3 linked regions of the Oryzias latipes genome follow. The main gene of each other region encodes a partner of the protein of the gene in region 2 in a complex. Links are inferred from orthologs where the notes say so. Each region holds a gene or a part of one and is shown on either strand. Other genes may lie near its edges.

Evidence for each region. Proteins that work in one complex are often made in the same cells at the same time.
Region 1: piga (region 2) and pigp share a complex: the UniProt entries of both Homo sapiens proteins name them as parts of the glycosylphosphatidylinositol-N-acetylglucosaminyltransferase (GPI-GnT) complex. The link is inferred for Oryzias latipes from reciprocal best matches to the Homo sapiens genes PIGA and PIGP.
Region 3: piga (region 2) and dpm2 share a complex: the UniProt entries of both Homo sapiens proteins name them as parts of the glycosylphosphatidylinositol-N-acetylglucosaminyltransferase (GPI-GnT) complex. The link is inferred for Oryzias latipes from reciprocal best matches to the Homo sapiens genes PIGA and DPM2.

Annotation. Positions count from the first base shown.
Region 1 is NC_019877.2:8,246,966-8,253,262, forward strand, and holds pigp (phosphatidylinositol N-acetylglucosaminyltransferase subunit P), read right to left. Parts: upstream 3,481-6,297; 5' UTR 3,225-3,480; intron 3,146-3,224; 5' UTR 3,143-3,145; coding exon 3,061-3,142; intron 2,065-3,060; coding exon 1,992-2,064; intron 1,879-1,991; coding exon 1,760-1,878; intron 1,443-1,759; coding exon 1,327-1,442; 3' UTR 845-1,326; downstream 1-844. Other genes in the region: putative nuclease HARBI1, read right to left, coding at 1-550; rexo4 (RNA exonuclease 4), read left to right, coding at 3,947-4,162, 4,276-4,595, 4,668-4,814, 5,854-6,047, 6,150-6,238. UniProt on the Homo sapiens protein: Part of the glycosylphosphatidylinositol-N-acetylglucosaminyltransferase (GPI-GnT) complex that catalyzes the transfer of N-acetylglucosamine from UDP-N-acetylglucosamine to phosphatidylinositol and participates in the first step of GPI biosynthesis.
Region 2 is NC_019879.2:3,734,428-3,740,694, reverse strand, and holds the start of piga (phosphatidylinositol N-acetylglucosaminyltransferase subunit A), read right to left. Parts: upstream 3,579-6,267; 5' UTR 3,441-3,578; intron 740-3,440; 5' UTR 720-739; coding exon 297-719; intron 205-296; coding exon 1-204. UniProt on the Homo sapiens protein: Catalytic subunit of the glycosylphosphatidylinositol-N-acetylglucosaminyltransferase (GPI-GnT) complex that catalyzes the transfer of N-acetylglucosamine from UDP-N-acetylglucosamine to phosphatidylinositol and participates in the first step of GPI biosynthesis.
Region 3 is NC_019870.2:30,337,854-30,344,212, forward strand, and holds dpm2 (dolichol phosphate-mannose biosynthesis regulatory protein), read left to right. Parts: upstream 1-2,894; 5' UTR 2,895-3,082; coding exon 3,083-3,181; intron 3,182-4,594; coding exon 4,595-4,684; intron 4,685-4,760; coding exon 4,761-4,863; intron 4,864-4,958; coding exon 4,959-5,014; 3' UTR 5,015-5,179; downstream 5,180-6,359. UniProt on the Homo sapiens protein: Regulates the biosynthesis of dolichol phosphate-mannose. Regulatory subunit of the dolichol-phosphate mannose (DPM) synthase complex; essential for the ER localization and stable expression of DPM1.

The DNA of each region.
Region 1 (6,297 bases), on a different chromosome or scaffold from region 2:
ACTGGCTCACCACCGACGTGAAGCCCTGCGCGTTGATGAAGGACTTAAAGAACTCCTTCTCATACGGAGAAGCCCTGATCTTAAACTGGGCAGGAGCCATGGCTCCCAGGACGTTGGGGATTTTGCAGAACTCTTTAATGACGGCGGCGTTTTGAATCCTGGCTTCCGCGGTGAGAGGGAAAGAGATGAACACGTCCGACATCCCCGCGATGACCCCCGATGCTGAGCTGGCGACGCTCGTGAGGCTGGCGTGCAGGCACGAGCCCACTTTCTGCACCACGAGCGGGCTGAACGCGCCATGCGCGAAGTAGTTAAGAGCCACCATGACGAACGCGTCCACCGGAGGCGAGGGTTTCTTGCAGGAGACCGTTTTCATGCGGATTCGAACGGCGTCGACGATGAAAGCGATGCAGGGCCGCGTGAGGTGGAAGTATTCGAACAAAGCGGCGTCGTTGAATTCGTCAAAACAGGTCGAGTTCTCCTTCTCCGCCGCTTCTTCTTCCAGGAGAAGCTCGTGCACCGCCAGCCACACCGGAACAGCAAACGTCATTTTTGTTTGTTTGGAACGTGTATTTGAAGACAATAAGCACAAAACTAAACAACAAAAATGTGGAATACTTGGAAGAGGAGCAGCACCCTGTTATTGCTTTTCTTCGTCTATCAATAAAGTTAACAAAACGCAGCACCAAACTCACTACTGCCCCCTGCTGTACATTTAAAGATCTTTGTGCCAATAACAATAAATGACACACAGGACAATTTTCAAAATGAAACACCAAAAAATCTCCTTATTTGTAATAAAATGAAGTGTAAACAGAAAAGGAGGGAAATAGGACCCCCAATCTTTTTTTAAAATATCTTTTATGCACTTTTGTCATCTTTGAATTGTACAAAAATACAAAGGCAACAATGAAACAACAAGATATACAGTATATATATTATTTTATGTTTAGCCAGAAACTATAAACACAACTTGGTTCAGCTTTGAAACTTTATCTATTTTGTCTAAAATAACAAAAGTTGAGTTTATCTTGTGGAAAAATACCTCATCTTTAATGCACTGAAACATACTGTAAATGAACATATTTAAGTGATATTTTCTTATTGGTATGATGGAAACATCTTGATCAATTAAGAAAAAAAATTTAAAAGGTAAATAGCAAAGTCACAGTGCAAAAGTTACATACAAACCCACTAACCAGACCTGTTAACTTTGCATACAAATTTGCAAAAGCGAACAGATTTGGCATATTACACCATCAGAAAGGTTCCCCCAGATTATTAATAAATGAACAGAGAAACCACAAAACACCCAGCAGCAGACTGTTATGTTTTGGGTGATAAATAAAACATTTTGTTGACATCACTGATGGAGACATCCTTTATTCGAGGTATTCCCCCCTTCTGCAGGCATTCTTCACTCTGCTTTAGTGCATAAATATCTAAAAGACACAAAGAAGACACTTAAAGCTGTTTTCTTGGTGGTGTTTTCTTAATTTTGACATAATATCCGACCTTTTTGACATAAATTACTCACCCTTATTTGTATTCATTTATTTTAAAAGTATATGCTTTTATTATGTGAGGTACAGTTCCTTTTTTAGAAAAATGCAGCTGCAATTAGCGCATGTTAAAGCTAGTTCGGTTGTATTACTCCTAGCAGTGATTTTACTTCCTTTTTTTAAAATTCAATATAATTTCACTTCAAACAGCTTTTCTGTGATTTACGCTGACTGTTAGCCTGCAGCCATAAACTCACCTGTGATGTTGTCCACAGAGTCCAGTGGGGCTGTGTTGCTCATGTTGACCCCAAATAACACCACAACAAACACCAGTATTGCCACCAGCATATATATTGGCACTGCGAGAGCCCAATACCTGCATCAAACATTTCACTTTAAGATTCAAACAAAGGCTAACAAGCCTAGGGTAATCTCATTGTAAAAAGACATAAAACATAAATTCTAACTTGTCATATTGTTGCTACTTACTTTTGAGGCCAATAAGTGAGCCCTATAGAATGAAGCCATTCCTCTGGTATGTATGCCCACAAGCAGTACAGAACTTTGGGAAAAGAAACAGAACAAACATATTTTATTAAGAGAATTCTTTGATACTCTTTTAGGATAGACTTTTTTTTCAAATTGTTCACGAACTATTTTTACTTCTGTTCTGTTACATTATCTTACATTTATGTATAAACATATGTCCTTTCATTTCAATTTATTTTTAAATCTGATGCTTTTTCATACAGAAAGACCATCCAACCAATAAAAAAGACAACCTTTGAGGAAAGTGTAAATATTCATTTATAAGCAACAGAGTTATGTGATATTCCAAATTGAAATCTTTTTAGAATTATTGGGATTATTAGAAGAATTTTCTTTTAAATGAGAAAAAGACAATCCAATTTAAAAGTTAAACAAGACTTCTTCATTTGGCTTAATACAATTTTGCCGACTTATTAAATTGTGTAGTTTTAAGCCTAAATATGAACATAACAGGCCTATTAAAAAAATCCTACTTTTTACCCAAAACAACAACAACACACAACTAGCGTTTTAAAGTAATTTACAATATTTAAGTCACTACCATCCTGCCATCTTTCAGCTGAATTTTTAAAAATATATATAAACACAATAACCTTTTACTAATGTATACCTTGAGATATAAATAACTTAAAAAAAACTAATTATTGAAAGAATTCTATTGAGAAAAAAATCCAAAAAGGCTTGTTTTTTTTAAGTGAAGTCACATTGAATTAATGGCAGTCTGTTTTTCAGGTGGTCAACTATTTATCACCCTAGTAGTAAGGAGATTTAAATCTCCACCGAGAAACGGTTATTCTATTTTAACTCAAGTGAGTCGTCCTGCACATTTACAAATTTCAATGAGATTAGATTTATGGCAACATAAACAAAAGGAACAGAATGTCTTTGCTATATTACCAAGAGCCGTAGAGATAAGTAATTCCACAACATTTTACGTTGAATGACATCTTCTGCAAATAGAACTATGCTTCTAATTTGAAAGAACATGATGTGATGGGACTTAACTTACAGAAGCCAAACTGGGAGCCAAGGAAGAGAACAAACCCATAGATTGCTCTCTCTGGCATAGGTGATGGGGAGTTTTCAACCATGATCTGAAACCAGAACACAAACAGACCATCTATTGGGTAAAATAATCGAAAATAAACAATGACAAAAAGTCACTAAACTTACCGACAGATAATAAGTGTATTTTGGTTCGTAAGAAGAGCAGCAAGTTTACAAAAACCCCTAAAAACAGTTTAAATGTTTCTCAAATAGCTTGTTTATATCGTACCATCAGCTAGGTTCAACGATAGATAAAATCCAATTCTACTATTTCAAACGAAACATAAATAAAAATGTAAAAAGTGCATCTAATCATATTACGCCAAAACCTAGCTGACTGCTGTCAACAAAACGTTAGTCCATCACCTAAATGAGTTCGGTCAGAAACTGTACATCAGGAACAAAAGACTTTAAAGAAATAAAGCAAAATTACATATCAATCTTGTGTTCTTTGTTAGTAATGTATAGATATTAAAAACTATTTTCAAGCTTGAAAAAAGAAAGAAATAAAAAAATCAACGAAGGGAGAACTTTCTGCCGCTCGAACGAATCATGTTACTTTTTTCCTGACGAACATATTTGACTGTTACTCATTCCAGAAGCACCGCAGCATGGCTTCGTGAATGTGAAGGTAAACAACTTGAAACATAATTTTTCCCTGTTTGGGAGGATAATAAAGTGGCTATTTTTGCTAATAGAAACAGTGTGTGCCCTTTATCTGGGATACATATGTATGTGACACAGCGTTAACTGTTTTCGTTTACATCTCACCTAAAATTGGCTTCTTTCAAAAACGTGGCTGTGTAACACAGCAAATACTCCCTGAAGTTTAAAGAAGTGCGACCACGATGTCTAAAATCAAAGGAAAGGAAACTCCTGCTGGAAAAACGCAACAGCTGACGTCCAAAGAAAAAAGGAAGAAGTTTTTTATAAAGCATAATCGTAAAAAACAAACTTCCCAAAAGACTCTAAACAAGAAAAATCTAGAAAATCCTGGAGCAAAGCAAACTGCACCACCACAGGATCCCCAACAGTTTTCTTCCAACTGGAAAGCATTACAAGAGGTTTGTCTGACGAATATTAAACTCTATGCTCTTCATAAGCTGTGCAACTACTTATGTGAAAATGTATTTACTTTTAAAATGTAATTATCTTCTTTGTTTCCTGAACATGGCAGATCTTAAAGAGCAGTCAGCCAGAGAAGAAGCAGCCTGTTACACCAAAACATCGGAATGGTGTCTTCCCTAAGAAGTTTAAAGGAAATGAGCCTAAAAAGTTTCAAAATAAGAGCCCTGCTCCCAGCCAGGTGCACACAGACAGAGAGGGAAAAGTCAAAAGTGGCGATGCCCCAAAGGAGGATGGGGTGAAGGCAAAGATCCACGCCGCCTTAGACAAACTGCAACCTGGTGGTGCAAGGAAAAGGCAAAACGAAAAGACAGACAATGAGAAACCAGCCAAGAAAAAGAAGCCCGTCACTGAAGAGAGGAAACCCACAGAGTATGTATCCTTATTGCTAATACTTGACTTCAGTTCGGGTTTGCCTTGTAATCTTTGCTTGTGCTGCTGTAGGGAGGACCTTTGGTTTGATGACGTCGACCCTGACGATATTGAGGAAACGATGGGAGCCGAGGCTGCAGAGATCATGAGGAGGAAACAAGGCATGAAAACAAGCAAGAACGTAGATAGCGTTCTGGTAAAAGAGAACGCCTTTGATGGGTAAGAGAAACTGTTTTGTGTTCTTACGGTCAAAATGCCACACCTTCATTTGCTATCGATCAACTCTAGTTGAAATTCACCTTTCTTTATAGAGCTCTTTTCCTGTTAAAAAACACCTCAAAGTCTTTTACATAAATAAATAATAATTATATTAGTATTTATAATAAACACATGTTGTGTACAAAAACTAGCAGGAAAAAATAATCCATAAAATCAAATTAAAACATGAGGAAATGTAAAATCGACATAAAAGCTAAACTAAAAAGGTGAGTTTAGGCCAAAGTTCTGCCATGTGGCCTCGCTGTGGGTTTTTGTTTATGACCTCAGGGAGCACCAGCATAACTGGATCTGAGGGCTCTGGGAGGGTCGTCTGCTAACACCAGCTTGATTAAAATTAAAGTGCAATTTCATTAAACTAAGAAAAGTACCTTAAAATCGATCCTAAAGCTGACAGAGAACCAGATATTTCAAATTTGGAGTCCTTCTTTTTGTCCTGATATTTTTTGATAATTTTTGCTCAACAATCATTATTATAGTATATTGTTTTAATCTCATCTGCTGCTCTTCTTCATCATTGTTTTCTTGGTCGGATGTGTAAAAGTGTTGAAAAAGTCCATTCCTAGCAACTCTTTAATCTAGTGGGATACTTCCCGTGTGTGTTGCTCTCTTTGGGCATAAGTATGAGTCTTAAAATCGTCGGATTGTTTCGCAATTGCTTCCTGATGAATATGCAGCCATAGCTGTTGCAGAGTTTATGCTCATCTCAACCTGCAGCAGACTGGCTCCAACAGACTCCCTAAGTGGAAGTAGTTGGAAAAACAGCCGTTGCCTTTTTAAACAAGTTTTTGAAAAAATCGGTATAGTTGTCAGTTATACCCCAATAACATCAGATGTTCTCTTACTTCTCTCAAAAGAGAAAATGATTTAATAATGTTTCAGGTGATTTCTGTGGAGAAACTTTAAAACGGGCAGCAGAAAGACTGGACTGTTTCATTAGATGACCTTTTGTTTTCTCCACGTTTGTACGTATGAATATCAGCATCACCAAAGCTGTAGCTATTGATTGTGAGATGGTGGGAGTCGGTCCAGATGGGGAGGACAGCATCCTGGCACGTGTGTCCATCGTGAACCAGTTTGGAAAATGCATCTATGACAAATATGTCAAACCCACAGAGAAGGTGACAGACTACAGAACAGCTGTCAGTGGGATCCGACCGGAACACATTAAAAATGGTAAGAAAACGAGACATCACTGTATACTTAGATGTTTATTGCTTTCAAACAATCCTCTGTGCTTTTGAACAGTGTCAAAATGTGATTTTTTTTTTTTTACAGGGGAGGATGTGCATGTTGTGCAAAAGGAGGTGGCTGAAATTCTGCAAGGAAGAATTGTGGTTGGTCATGCAATTCACAATGACTTAAAGGTATTGTGTTGCCTTAAAATAAATGTGTGCTCCAATAAAACAGCTGTAGCTCTCCTCTT
Region 2 (6,267 bases):
GGGCGTGAAGTCTGTGGGGTCGACGGCGTTGGGAATGACGGACACGATCTCTGGCTGCAGCGTTCCCCGCAGAACGGTGTTCTCCTTACTGGTGTAGGACACACACACTATGTGGTTGGTGTCGCACAGAGACACCGTCAAGAGCTTGTTGGTCAACACGGAGCTCAAGTCAGCAAAACCAAAAAGTGAGTGGTCAGTGAACACCTAGAAACACAACAAGGTTGTTTTTGGGTGAAGTCGGTCAGTACAACCACACACAGAAGGTGGTGAAGGTAAAGCAGCTTGGTGGGACCTACTGTGTTCAGGCCCATGGTTTTGGCGTGGAAAAGTGCATCATGGGCCATGGCAGAGAAGGAGCTGTGAGCGTGAACCACAGTGATGCGCTCCCTGACGAAGACGCAGCGGAGCAGGGGGAGGCTGTGGAAGCAGGTGGTGGCCGTGGACTGGTTGTACATGACTTGCAGGGGCAGGTAGTAGACCTTGAGTCCGTGAGTCAGATACCTGACGCCCTTCCTCCTGCCGTACGCATGCGTGACGACCACCACCTTGTGTCCCTTTTCAATCAGACACTGCGACAGCTGATAAATGTGACTTTCAACTCCGCCCATGTTTGGGTAGAAAAAGTCCGACACCATGCAGATGCTGTGCTTCCTGCCGACCCCAGAGGAGTCGCTGCTGTCTGGTTTTGGTGAGGTGGCTACTTTCCTTCGCTGACTCATGGTCTAATCCTGGATTGGTGCTAAAACATCAGAAAAATAATCAAATAGTTGTTTAAAAAAGCTCACCCCAGACCCCAACAAATCTACTTTTTTCTCTATAGATTTTCAATGTGTAAACCAGAAAGGGATAAAAAAAAAAAACGACTAAGTTAGAGTCAGTTATGTGTGCAAATTCGAATGTTTTAGCAGGTTATTATTTTTTAATATCTAAAAATAAATAAACTATACCAAATATGAATGCAACACTTTTTGCTTAAGCACCTCTAACTCTCCACATATTTGATTTTCAAAATGTTTATGCAATATCAACAGAAGTTGAGCAGAAATTAATTCAATTTATTTATGAAAAATGGTAAATGGCGTATACTTGTATAGCGCTTTTCTACCTACAAGGACAAAGCGCTTTTACAGCCAGCGACCCATTCACCCAGTCACACACACATTCACACAGGCTCTGCTGCCAAACACAGGCGCCCGCCTACCACCTACCAAGGTGGGGTTCAGTGTCTTGCCCAAGGGCACTTTGACTCATGGGTGTGCAAGGTGGGAATTGAACCTGCAAGTTTAGGATCATGGGTTGACCGCCCTACCACTGCACCACGGCCGCCCCATCCTTTTTTTAGGAAAAAGGATAATGTTTATTTATACAAATGTCAAATACAATGTGTGATCCGAAAGCAATCTAATGATAGAAAAGAAAGTTACAAAGGCCCTAATCTTACTGAAAACAAGAACCTATTAAGATTTAAAATCTGTCTCCTGTCTTCCAGTATGAATTAGCTGTACGGGTCAGCAAAACAGTCAAAGTTTTACTGTGTTTGATGGGGGGGGTTCTGCAAATATAATTTTTAATAGAACCAACTTCCTCGCTGATTATTTTAACATAAATGTTTTCTTTTCTGTACCTCAATAGGAAACATGTAGGCTACATTAAAACCAATGTTATGCTAAAAGAAAGAAAAATATTGGGAAAAATTAATGTCAAACCTTTGCATATAAAGCAAGTAAAGTTAGCCTTCTACAAGGGAGTGATGGTACTTTATTCAAACCGATCTATCTCAAACCGAAGTGTCCCCAGTGATCTTTTAAGTATGATTATTATTGTTTTGTTAGCCAAAAACCGGTGTCGTTTTCTAGGACCGTTTCTGCAGAACAGCAATGCGAAATTTACCTCGAGTTTGTGGGCGGGACCATTGGTGGGGAGTAAGCCTGTGTTAATCTCATCATCCATCTGTTTACACACTCTCCCACTAGCTTACAGCCCCTCACAACCCCAACCTAACATTGGAAGAGTGACAAAAATGGAGAGCAATATCAGAGCTATCCAGTTGTTCAGTTATGAGCCAGATGCCAGCTCGGACGAGGAAAACAAAGACGTTCACGGATCTATTCGTCTGCGAGTGGATGCATCAGAATGGAGCGGAGCAGGGAGCTTGTGCTCCGCCCAGCACGTTTTCGATGCAACAAATACGCCATTGTTTGAACTGCATTTTCCGTCTGTTCCTGATTCACAACAAGTTGAATAAAGAAACAGTCAAATATGCCATTTTGAATTCAACTTTCTTTATACGTGTCTTCCACCATGAGAACAAGGTAACACCAAAAATACGATTTCATCAAAGTGGGTCTGTTAAGTGAACAAGAGAAAACAGATTCGTACAACCTTGTTTATAGTCTAAACTACAACTTTTAATTTAGGTCTGACAGTATTTAAGATTAAACAAAACAGTGACTAGCAGCTCAGATGACAATGGTCCCAGCCACAGAGACTTGATGAATAATCAGTGGGCTGTTTTGCATTCTTTCAAATAAGCTAGCTGTAATGGATCCGCTCCAACCAACAACAGACTATAAACCACATTCTCCTTCAAGTCCAGCATTCATATCATTCTAGCATCCAGAACAGCCTCTGGTGTCATTTATGTGATGTCGGCTCACAGAAGAAGCCCGTCAGACGAGAACTTTGGACACTTTTCATGAAGTTACACCTTTATCCCCCACCACTACCTGTTCAAGTCATTAATATAACGATGCTTGTGTCATTGACCACTTCTCCTAATAACCATTAAATAAGCTTAATCAAACGTAAATAATAAAAAAAAACTATATTTAAATTTTTACATTCACATAACGAAAGAAATATCAGGCAACTCTATATTCCATCATTTTATCACTCTTTTTGTCATGTGTGCGTATGTGTGTGTGTACTGGGGGTTGTCGGCACTGTTTGTCTTGTCATCTTGTTTTTACATTTTATTGTTGTATTTTATGCACAGCACCTTGACTGACATGTGTTGTTGTAAAAGTGCTATAATAAATAAAGGTTGATTTGATTTGATTGGGATAATGTCAACTGTAAAGGGAGAAGAAAATATATTCCTTCTCCAAAACCCCCACACAAATTAAAAAAATAAATAAAACAATAAATACAAATCAATAATGTGGCATCAATATTTTCCTTAAACACCTAAATAATAAAAATGTTTACTCATCAGTGCTGATACAGCAGTCTCTGTTTAAGTTAATAATTTTCAAGTCCAATATTCCAGACATTGTAAAATAAAACGTCAGTATAGCCGAACTGGGGGGAAACTAGCTACCTGTAAACTGTTCCAATAGCCAATCCAATAACAGCTTAGTTACTTCTTTTACATGAAGAACTATTTTCATTACGTCATTTGAATGACTATTTTCGCTCCTGACAGCCTACGTTTGGCTTACCGTGTGCAGAAATGTCGGCTTTGTTCCAGCTTTGAAAAAATAAAAAGTAAAACACGCTCAGTGGTCGATTCTTTTCCCTCCAGTTCTTTATGCTAACCGTTTAGCCGCCTGTGCTACTTCCTGCTACGTCAGACGTAGTGAGTACGTCAACTGCGTTCCCCGTTGATCACGTGGGTGTCAGAAGCATCTTCAGTGCTTTTTTTCATTAAACGATTGAACATAACAGAACATGGCTGAACATACAAGTAATTAAAAAAAAAAAATCAGAAATTACAGTCAGAAGAAACAAACGCAGAACAACATAATGGTAAAATAAAATAATCACAAATTTAGCTAGGCTTATTTTTTTCGATTACATCCATTAGAAGTTTTGATTAAAATAATAATAATAATAATAATAATAATAATAAGGAAAATCATGTGTGTTTTTTTAACCAAACACCAACAAAGCAAAAAAAATCAGAGCTTCTTCAATATAATACAGATATCTGACCTTTAACACTAAAAGAGCCATTGAAGCCTGTTTCTTATCGACCAAAGCAACTTCAAAACTCTTTTTTTAGACCATTAAGCCATTCTTTTATAAAACGTATTAATGTAAATACTTTCAATGTAAAAACTTTTTCCAACTGCATTTTTTTGTCTGCTCTTGATTCACAACAATTTGAATAAAGAAATACTCATAAATTCCATTTTAGGCATAATTTTCTTCATACTTGTCCTCCATCATGTGATGTAATGCCACAAGAACAGGTTAAAAGAAACATCAACATGATTTTCATCAGAGTTACAGATGTATAGATTATACACACAAGACACCAAAATGAATTAAAATAATGCAATGCAGCTAATTTTGTTTTTAATTATTTTTGTTAGATAACCTTTATTTAACCAGATAAAGACACTTCCCCTCAAGGGTCTCCACAGCAAGTCAGTTTTCAGTGATCCACACATTAGATTTGGTTTTCGCCGGATGCCCCCTCCTGACTCAACCCTGCATTTTATCCTGGGGGAGGACTGGCACTGGCAGATCCAGACTCGGGCCTCCTTGTGACCACATAGTTAGGCAGCGTAGTGTGAAGGGTCTGTCCTAAAGGACCCACATTGGATGAAGCTCATCGTGTCCCCAATCTGAATTCCCATTCGTTTTTTTTATGTTGCAAATCAGCTTCTGAAAAGTTTAACATGATGCTTTTTACAGGATGGTTCATTAACCAGCATTCTCTTCAACCGACAAGTAATGGAAAGTGTTGAAAAACAATGGTTATTACAATTTATTATCATTTTAAATGATACAAAACTATACAGGAAATAAAAGAACACAACAAATGTATCCCAACATAAACAACTTTTTCGAAAAATTTACATGTCTTGTATTCAACATTGTCAGCATTTGACAAAACTTCTCAGAGCCAGCAAGTACTTCCTGTTTGGAAGGTGATGTGGGAGGAGTCACTCAATCCAGTTCTCATCTACAGTCAAGAGTTTGAGGCTATTACTAAACATTTGACAAAACCCAGAAAACAAAGTATGAATCATTAACTTGCTCTTTTGTAGTTTTTTTTTTTTTTTTTACGTAGATTTGCTTATCTGCCTTGGTTTCTATGTCAGCAGGTTCATAAAGAACACATTAAAGCTCATTTTTAGACTTTGACCTAAACTCTGCTGCACCTTTTTTTTACCATTTATTGGTTTAATATTTTAACATCTGTCTAAGTTTGTTCAAGCTTTCCTTTTGAAACAGAAGGCTTCGCCTTGAGACATTCGGAAATGCCGTCGGATAGACAACAGACACTAAAACATGTTGTTGATATAAAACACGCTGTTATGAGTCAACTTTACGATTCGTCTTTATGAGCCTTCAGTCACGGTGCACAACAAGGTTTTGTGTTTGGCCCTATATATATTTATAATACTCTTTGGTTAGTTTGGCGTATTTTATGATTCACAGCAAAAATGCGGTTTCTATGATGACGACAGAAACTATTACTGTCTTTTAAATAAGGCGATGTTTTAAAGTTTGAAGGGAAATGTCCTGATTTTTATTTACTTTCTCTTGTACTAAAATAAGACTACATGTTTTTTTGGAGCTGAGCCAATCAGCAATTCTGTATCTGACTATGAAATGATAGTTGATTCACCAGGATAAGTTTGAACTTGTTGAAATTGAGTTTCTGAAACTGCCCCCTTCCAATGATGTACTTTTTCTCCGTATCAGATCCCAGTCTTGAGGAGTAAAATGCTTTTTCTTGTGAAACCAGCTCTTTGGTTCAGTCAAGAAGGCAAATATTACATCTTCTCCCTACGACTATGTTTAAAACTTGCATTGCTTTGCGAAAACTTGTCGTTAAGGGTTGGTGATAGTGACCCTAACCCATGACTGTAAATATGCTGCAGTTAACTTTCACTGCTGAAAGCTGTGAAGGTTCACTGTGTTCCATTTGCTCCACAGCTTTTTCTAGCTTTTCCTCATTTTTTTGGAAACAGTTTTATCTTTACTTTTAAATCCAATCATTCAGCCAAGCGGGTGGCTCAACTTGACTCATCTGATCATGTAAGAGATCTTCTTATTTCAAGCAAATCTCTTCCCTTCTGCTGACCTCCAGAATTCAATTCAATTCAATTTCAATTCAATTCATACATAAAGCCCAAAATCACAACAACATTCGTCTCAATGGGCTTCGTACCTGTAATTGTAAAGTAAACTTGTAAGTATCATGAGTACACAGAATTCAATAGGAAAATTCTCAACTGAACAAACTAAGCAGACTAAACTAAACTGGGCATCCCTGTCCTCAATACTGGGAATTTACAATCAAACCTAGCA
Region 3 (6,359 bases), on a different chromosome or scaffold from region 2:
CCCCCATTCTCACCACTTGGGGCCTGTTGGTGAGAAAGTCTTTGATCCAGAGGCACAGGGAGGCAGGCAGACCCAGGTTGTGGAGCTTCAGTGTCAGCTTGTCCGGGATCACCGTGTTAAAGGCTGAACTGAAGTCCACAAATAACATCCTGACATAGGTGTCAGGATGCTCCAGGTGGGACAGGGTAGCATGCAGGGCTAGTGAGACTGCGTCCTCTGTCGATCGGTTCTCCCTGTAAGCGAACTGATGGCTGTCCAGAGTAGCAGGGATGATGTCCTTGATGTGGTTCAGGATGATCCTCTCAAAGCACTTCATGATCACCGGTGTCAGAGCGACCGGCCGGTAATCATTGAGGCACGAGACAGATGATTTTTTTGGCACCGGCACGATGATGGAGGACTTGAGGCACACGGGAACTGAGGTGAGCTGCAGGGACCAATTGAAGATGTCCAGGAAAACTCCAGCCAGTTGATGTGCGCACAGCTTCAGAACCCGACCTGACACCTTATCTGGTCCTGCGGCTTTACTGGTGTCGATCCTCCTCAGAGTGGAGCTCACCTGATGTAGCTGCAGGACGAGAGGCTGGGACTGCTCCTCCAGCTGTAATAGAGGACCAGAGTCCCTGCTGCTGCCGGGCGTCTCGAAGCGTGCAAAGAAGGTGTTTAGAGTGTCAGGCAGGGTGGGGTCATGAGTGGTCTGCTGCATGCTGCTCCTGTGGTCTGTGATGGTTCTGATGCCTCTCCACATCTCCCGCGGGTTGTTATTAGCAAAGTGCTGTTCCACCTGTTGTCTGTGTCTGCGTTTGGCCTGGTTGATGCCCCTCCTCAGCTCTGTCCGGGCTCTGCTGTAGGCCAGCCTGTCACCTGACCTGTAGGCTGCATCCCGAGCTTTGAGCAAAGACCGCACTGTTCCATCAAACCATGGTTTCTGGTTTGGGTAGACTTTGATGGACTTTGTGGGCAGAACAGCATCGGTGCAGAACAGCACATAGCTCAGGACGGATGTTGTGTAGGCCTCCAGGTCTGAGCCATCTTTAAACACCTCCCAGTCAGTGAGTTCAAAACAGTCCTGTAGTGCAGAAGAAGCCTCTTCGGTCCATACCTGAACTGTTTTGATGGTTGGTTTGGTCCTGCAGATCAGAGGTCTGTATGTGGGGGTTAGCTCCACAGAGATGTGATCCGACATGCCCAGGTGAGGAGCTGCTGCAGCCTTGTATGCACCTGGGATGTTGCAGTAGACTTGATCCAGTGTGTTGTTGTCTCTGGTGGGAAAGTGAATAAACTTCTGAAATTTGATGGATGGATGGATATATGGATGGATGGGTGGCAGTGGCTCAGGCAGATGAGCAGGTCGTCCAATGATCGAAGGGTCGTTGGTTCGATCCCCTCTCCCCCCAGCCAACTGTCGTGTCTTTGGGGAAGACGCTTCACCCTCCCTGCCTCCACTGGTGCATGAATGTGCATGAATGTCCTGGTGATGGTCAGAGGGGCCGTAGGCGCCAACTGTCAGCCACGCCTCTGTCCGTCTGCCCCAGGGCAGCTGAGGCTACATCAGTAGTTACCATCACCAAGTATGAATGAATGATGGACTCACTGTTAACGCTTTGAGCGTCTGGAAAAGCAGATCAATCCATTATTATTTAGTCTTAAGTATTTAAATAAAAAGTAGGGTAACATTGACGTAGAGCAACTGTCAACTGTCAACTGGCTATGTTTTGACTATCTTATTCAGATTCATTTCTCCACGCAGGTCAGTTCTTGCTTTACCAAACTGACTTGGATGGTTCATTTTTCAGACGAGTGAATTCTGCTGGCAGGATCAACCCGGTAGCCCCAGGAGTTGGCAGTAGGGCGGGCCAACCCAGGCCAGGCCTCAACTAGGGCAACAGTTCTGGATTGTGTTTCTATAGTTTTTTTACTCTAATTAAATAATGAGTGATGAGCAAATACTTAGTGGTCAAATGTCTTTACCGTCAGATCTGTAGTTTGTTCTTAATGAATGATCTTTTTCAGCAGCAAAGAGCATTTATCACTGCAGGAACATGAATGCATCAGTGTCTGCAACATTTGCTCTTGTTTGCACACCAACTAGCTGGTCTAAACATTGGGACTGCATTGTAAATTAAAAACATGTATTTTAAAATCTTTGAACTCAAAAGCAACTTTTCTGAACTGTATCGCTGAACTATGTATTTATTTAGCGGAATGTCGACACTTAAGCTCTCTGAAAATGTATTTGTTTATTTTTTTAAACAAATCTTTGTTCTTGATGATCTACTTTCTGACCTGGATTAAAAAAAAAGGTTCATCATGTACGGATTTCTGTTTCTTAGAGATTTGTTATGAAAGTATTGGATAGTTTTTATTTCATTATTTTGAATGTGGATGAGCGGGTTCTACTGGTAGGAGTGTTTACCAGTAACTACCATTTCTTTAGTTTAATCAAAAAAGTGATGACTCATATCACTGCAGAAGCGTTGTCCGGTCCATGACTCCTGGATGGTCCGGTCCATAAGTCCAGGGAATAATGTAGCTTTGCCTGAGGATGACCACCATGACTAAAGCCGATCTCTTGGAGCCAGATTGTCGTGTTGAAGTGGGTTAGTGCAGAAAATGGATTTATGGAATATGAACGTTCCTGTGAGACTCCAGCATGAATCTCAACACAAATCCTAAAGTCATAAAAAATATTCCTTTCCAAATGGCCAGGATGTCGAAACGCCAACTGTTTGCTGCTTCAGGAATCCCACAAGACAGAAAATGTAAAAAACAACAAAATCAGGCGGGACGTTTTTCTATTTGTCATGTTACTCCAGACCAGCAGGGGGCGGTCACGGGACTTTCTCCTGCAGCTGCAGCCGGACATAAACCAACCGGAAAAACGGAGGTCACGTGGTTCTACCGCCTGTCAACAATGGTGAGCGGCGTTTAAGTAATTTATTTTATAGGAAATCCCTTTACAAACATGATTTTACGGGGATAAACAGTCGCAGTGGTTTGACCTTTACAGGCCGCCGTCATGAAGAATTGTGCCTAAAAGCAGGTTGAAGTTTCGCGTTGAGCTCTTGACGCTTAAGGCTTAATGACGATCCGCGGGTCCCTAACCGGGTCCCTAACCGGCCTTCAGAAGAACGACAGGAATGTTTTCTCCTCACGGGAATGCGGACAAAACGGACGTTTGGTCTCTGACATTTTTATTCACCGCACATGAAAAAACGCTGAGATTGAAGCCGCAGCTGTAGTCAGTTTGGCCTTTTTCATTGTATTTATTTACTCTGAAGTTAGAAGAACATCCCACAGAAACTTTACCCAATGAGTTCTATCACTAGAGGAGACACACCCGCTTGGGAAGCCTGGCCGACGGTGGCGGAGCGCGACGCCATCTTGGTGAGGTCGTCAGCGCCCACGTGACAATGATTTCTATTGCCTTTAGTGGCATCTAGTAGCTTTTATATATATTTATACCTATATATAAATATATATGTATATCATTTATGTATATGCATCATTTGTTTTTAAATAAGAGAAACAGGCAGCATTAAAAGCTCAAACTTTAATGAAAAATGCAGAGTTGCAGGACTTCTTACAAAAAAAATTATTACAAAGAATTTTTAAAAATAATTTTTAAACATGTAGAAGTTTTAGACCTCTTTGAAACGTAATTTAAATTATTTAGAAAAGCCCAACAATAAGTCAATAGGAAGCCAATAATAATAATGAATAATAACAATATATACATAAGTCAATAATTATAATAATAATAAATAGTAATTCAATAATAATAATAAATTATAAGAATAAATCAATAATAAGTCAACAATAAGTCCAAAAGTCAATAACAGATTTACCCTGAAAAAACAAAGAGAAACAATAGATTAACTGATTCATGTTAGTGATCAGTTTGTGTAACACAGATTCCTTGGTGTCGGGTTTCAGGCTAACATTCTGGCCTCTCATCAAAGTCTGGTTCCACAAATGTTCTGAACATATCCAGACTGTATCACTAGTTGGTACCACAGTGATCCATCTGGGTTAGCTCTTTTTATTGCTAAGATCCACTTTTTCCTGAAGTCTGAATCTATTAGAAACCTGCAAGAAAAGTTCAGTCTGAGTCAGAAATGTATAAATCTATATTATTATAATAGCCTAGTCCTAGTATACTGTATATAGGTTTAACACAATAAAGTTTACATTTATGTCGACAGCAAATTCTCCGTACATCATGCAGCATGTTGATAACAGCCCTGCAGCATCATGCATGTCTACATGTGTTCTATTCATGAAGCCCCTCCAGCATTAAAAGAAAAACATTAAAATACTTACCTGTGAAATGTTCTGCCTTCCTGCTTCGTGGACTAATTTCCTCGATTTTGACAGTTGAAATCCGCACAATGAACTGGGATTTTGAGTTCACATGCTGAACTGCAGCAGTGACTTGACCTCACCAAGATGGCGGTGCTCTCCTCCCATGAAGAATCCCATGACGTCTCCTCTAGCGATAGAACTCATTGACTTTAACTGCTGCGGCACCCGCAGTCTGAGACCCGGTCCAAAGCTGGGTCACTGATGAACTTTTTCTGCTCTTGGTTTTCAGGCCACTGGAGTGGATCAGGCTGTCGGCATGGGTCTGGTTCTGTTCAGCCTGGCTCTGTTTTCGTACTACTCTGTGTGGGTCGTGGTTCTGGTACGTCCTGATGGAGCCTCTTAAATATCTGTAGGACAAAGGTGGACTCTAATACTGTGATTTGCACCAATTGCAGCCGTTCATGGACGGTGACCACATGCTGCAGCAGTACTTCCTTCCTCGTGAGTACTCTGTCATCCTGCCGGGCATTGCAGCAGTGGTTTTGCTCCTCATGATAGGTCAGTATGCCGTCTCATGACCTCATGACCCCGCTGTCTACACGTCTTCATGCCAGACGGACGCGGTGATCCTCTGGTTTTTGTCTTCTCTGCAGGGGCTTTCACAGCAGCTGTTGTGTGGATGAATCACAAGCCAAAGAAAGTGGATTAGTCCCACTTTCCATGGGAAAATGGAACTTTATAAAGTCACATGGATTCATTTTCCTCCTCTGGGAATCTTTTTGACAGAACATGTGCTTGGTGTTGTGGGTATGAGTGCTGGCTGTGAGTGAAGTCTGGGTTTCAAACTGAAAAATAAACCTTTTCACATAGATCACCCCGTCCTACAGATGTTTTAATGGTTGCCAAGCATTCTGCTGACCTCCATGATGCTGGGAGTCACTCGTTTTCAGTATCTACACTGTGTGGAGGCAGCATTTGTACACCAGATGAGTACGGTGGGTGGAGTCTTTAGGTGTTTCAAAAGTCTGAATACTTTTGTCATTTCTCACTAGTTTGGACTTTAACCCTCCTGATGGGCTGGATTCTTGTCTTGCTCCATGTTACCTAACTGTTTTCTCTACATCAATAAAATCACAAATTAAAATAGTAGAAAATCGGTTTCAACCATTGACTGTATAGAGAACTGGACTGATCGAGGGTGAGCCACCCGTAGAAAACACCTAACCCCCAGCTCCAGCTAAAGGAACCCGATTCAGTCGCCGTTTTTCCTCGATACGGTTGCGCCATGTTGGAGCCAGACGACAGTGGTTGGTGCGAGTGGTCGTTTCTATGGCAACTACTGTCGCCAATCAGAAGTAAGCTTGTTTGAAGTCCACACCCCTTCAGCTCAGGACCTGAAAGCAGCTCAGGAAAATCTGTCAAACGTTAGAGGTGGGGGGCAGCAGGCACCACAAGCTCTTACTGAGGGATCTGATTGGTCAGCTGAGATCTTGAATAAAGAAAGCAAATGAGGATTATTAAGAATATATTAACAAAAGGTATCAGATCCAGAACGCTTCTTCTGACCAATAGAATGACTGAGGAACATCTGGTCATTTCTATAGACATGTACGGGATTCTGGTTTCTTGGAACCAGCAGATACTTCCTGTTTGGAACGCCAGGGGGAGGGGCGTGCCCAGTCCAGGTCTCCATACACAGTCACTGGTTAACTCTTGTTCTATCCTAGGCACTTTACCATTGGGAGTTGGGTCATCTAGACCCACTAGACAGAGCTCTGAACCTTTTTTCTTCAATGATTTGTGATCTTCACTGGTGTCCATGGATTACATGAAATCTTTCCACCTTTATCCACCTTTGTCATGGTAGGGGGAACACGTCAATGGAAGGGGGGGTCATCTAAGCACAGGGGTTACGGCCTCACACCCTCATATCTAGAGCCGCCCACCGACACACCCAGAATCCATGAACAAAACCCGTAACTGTAACTTCAACACTTTTCACAGTATTTTTCAACTGTTTTGATTTTATTTGACTTCAGCGAAACAAACATGTT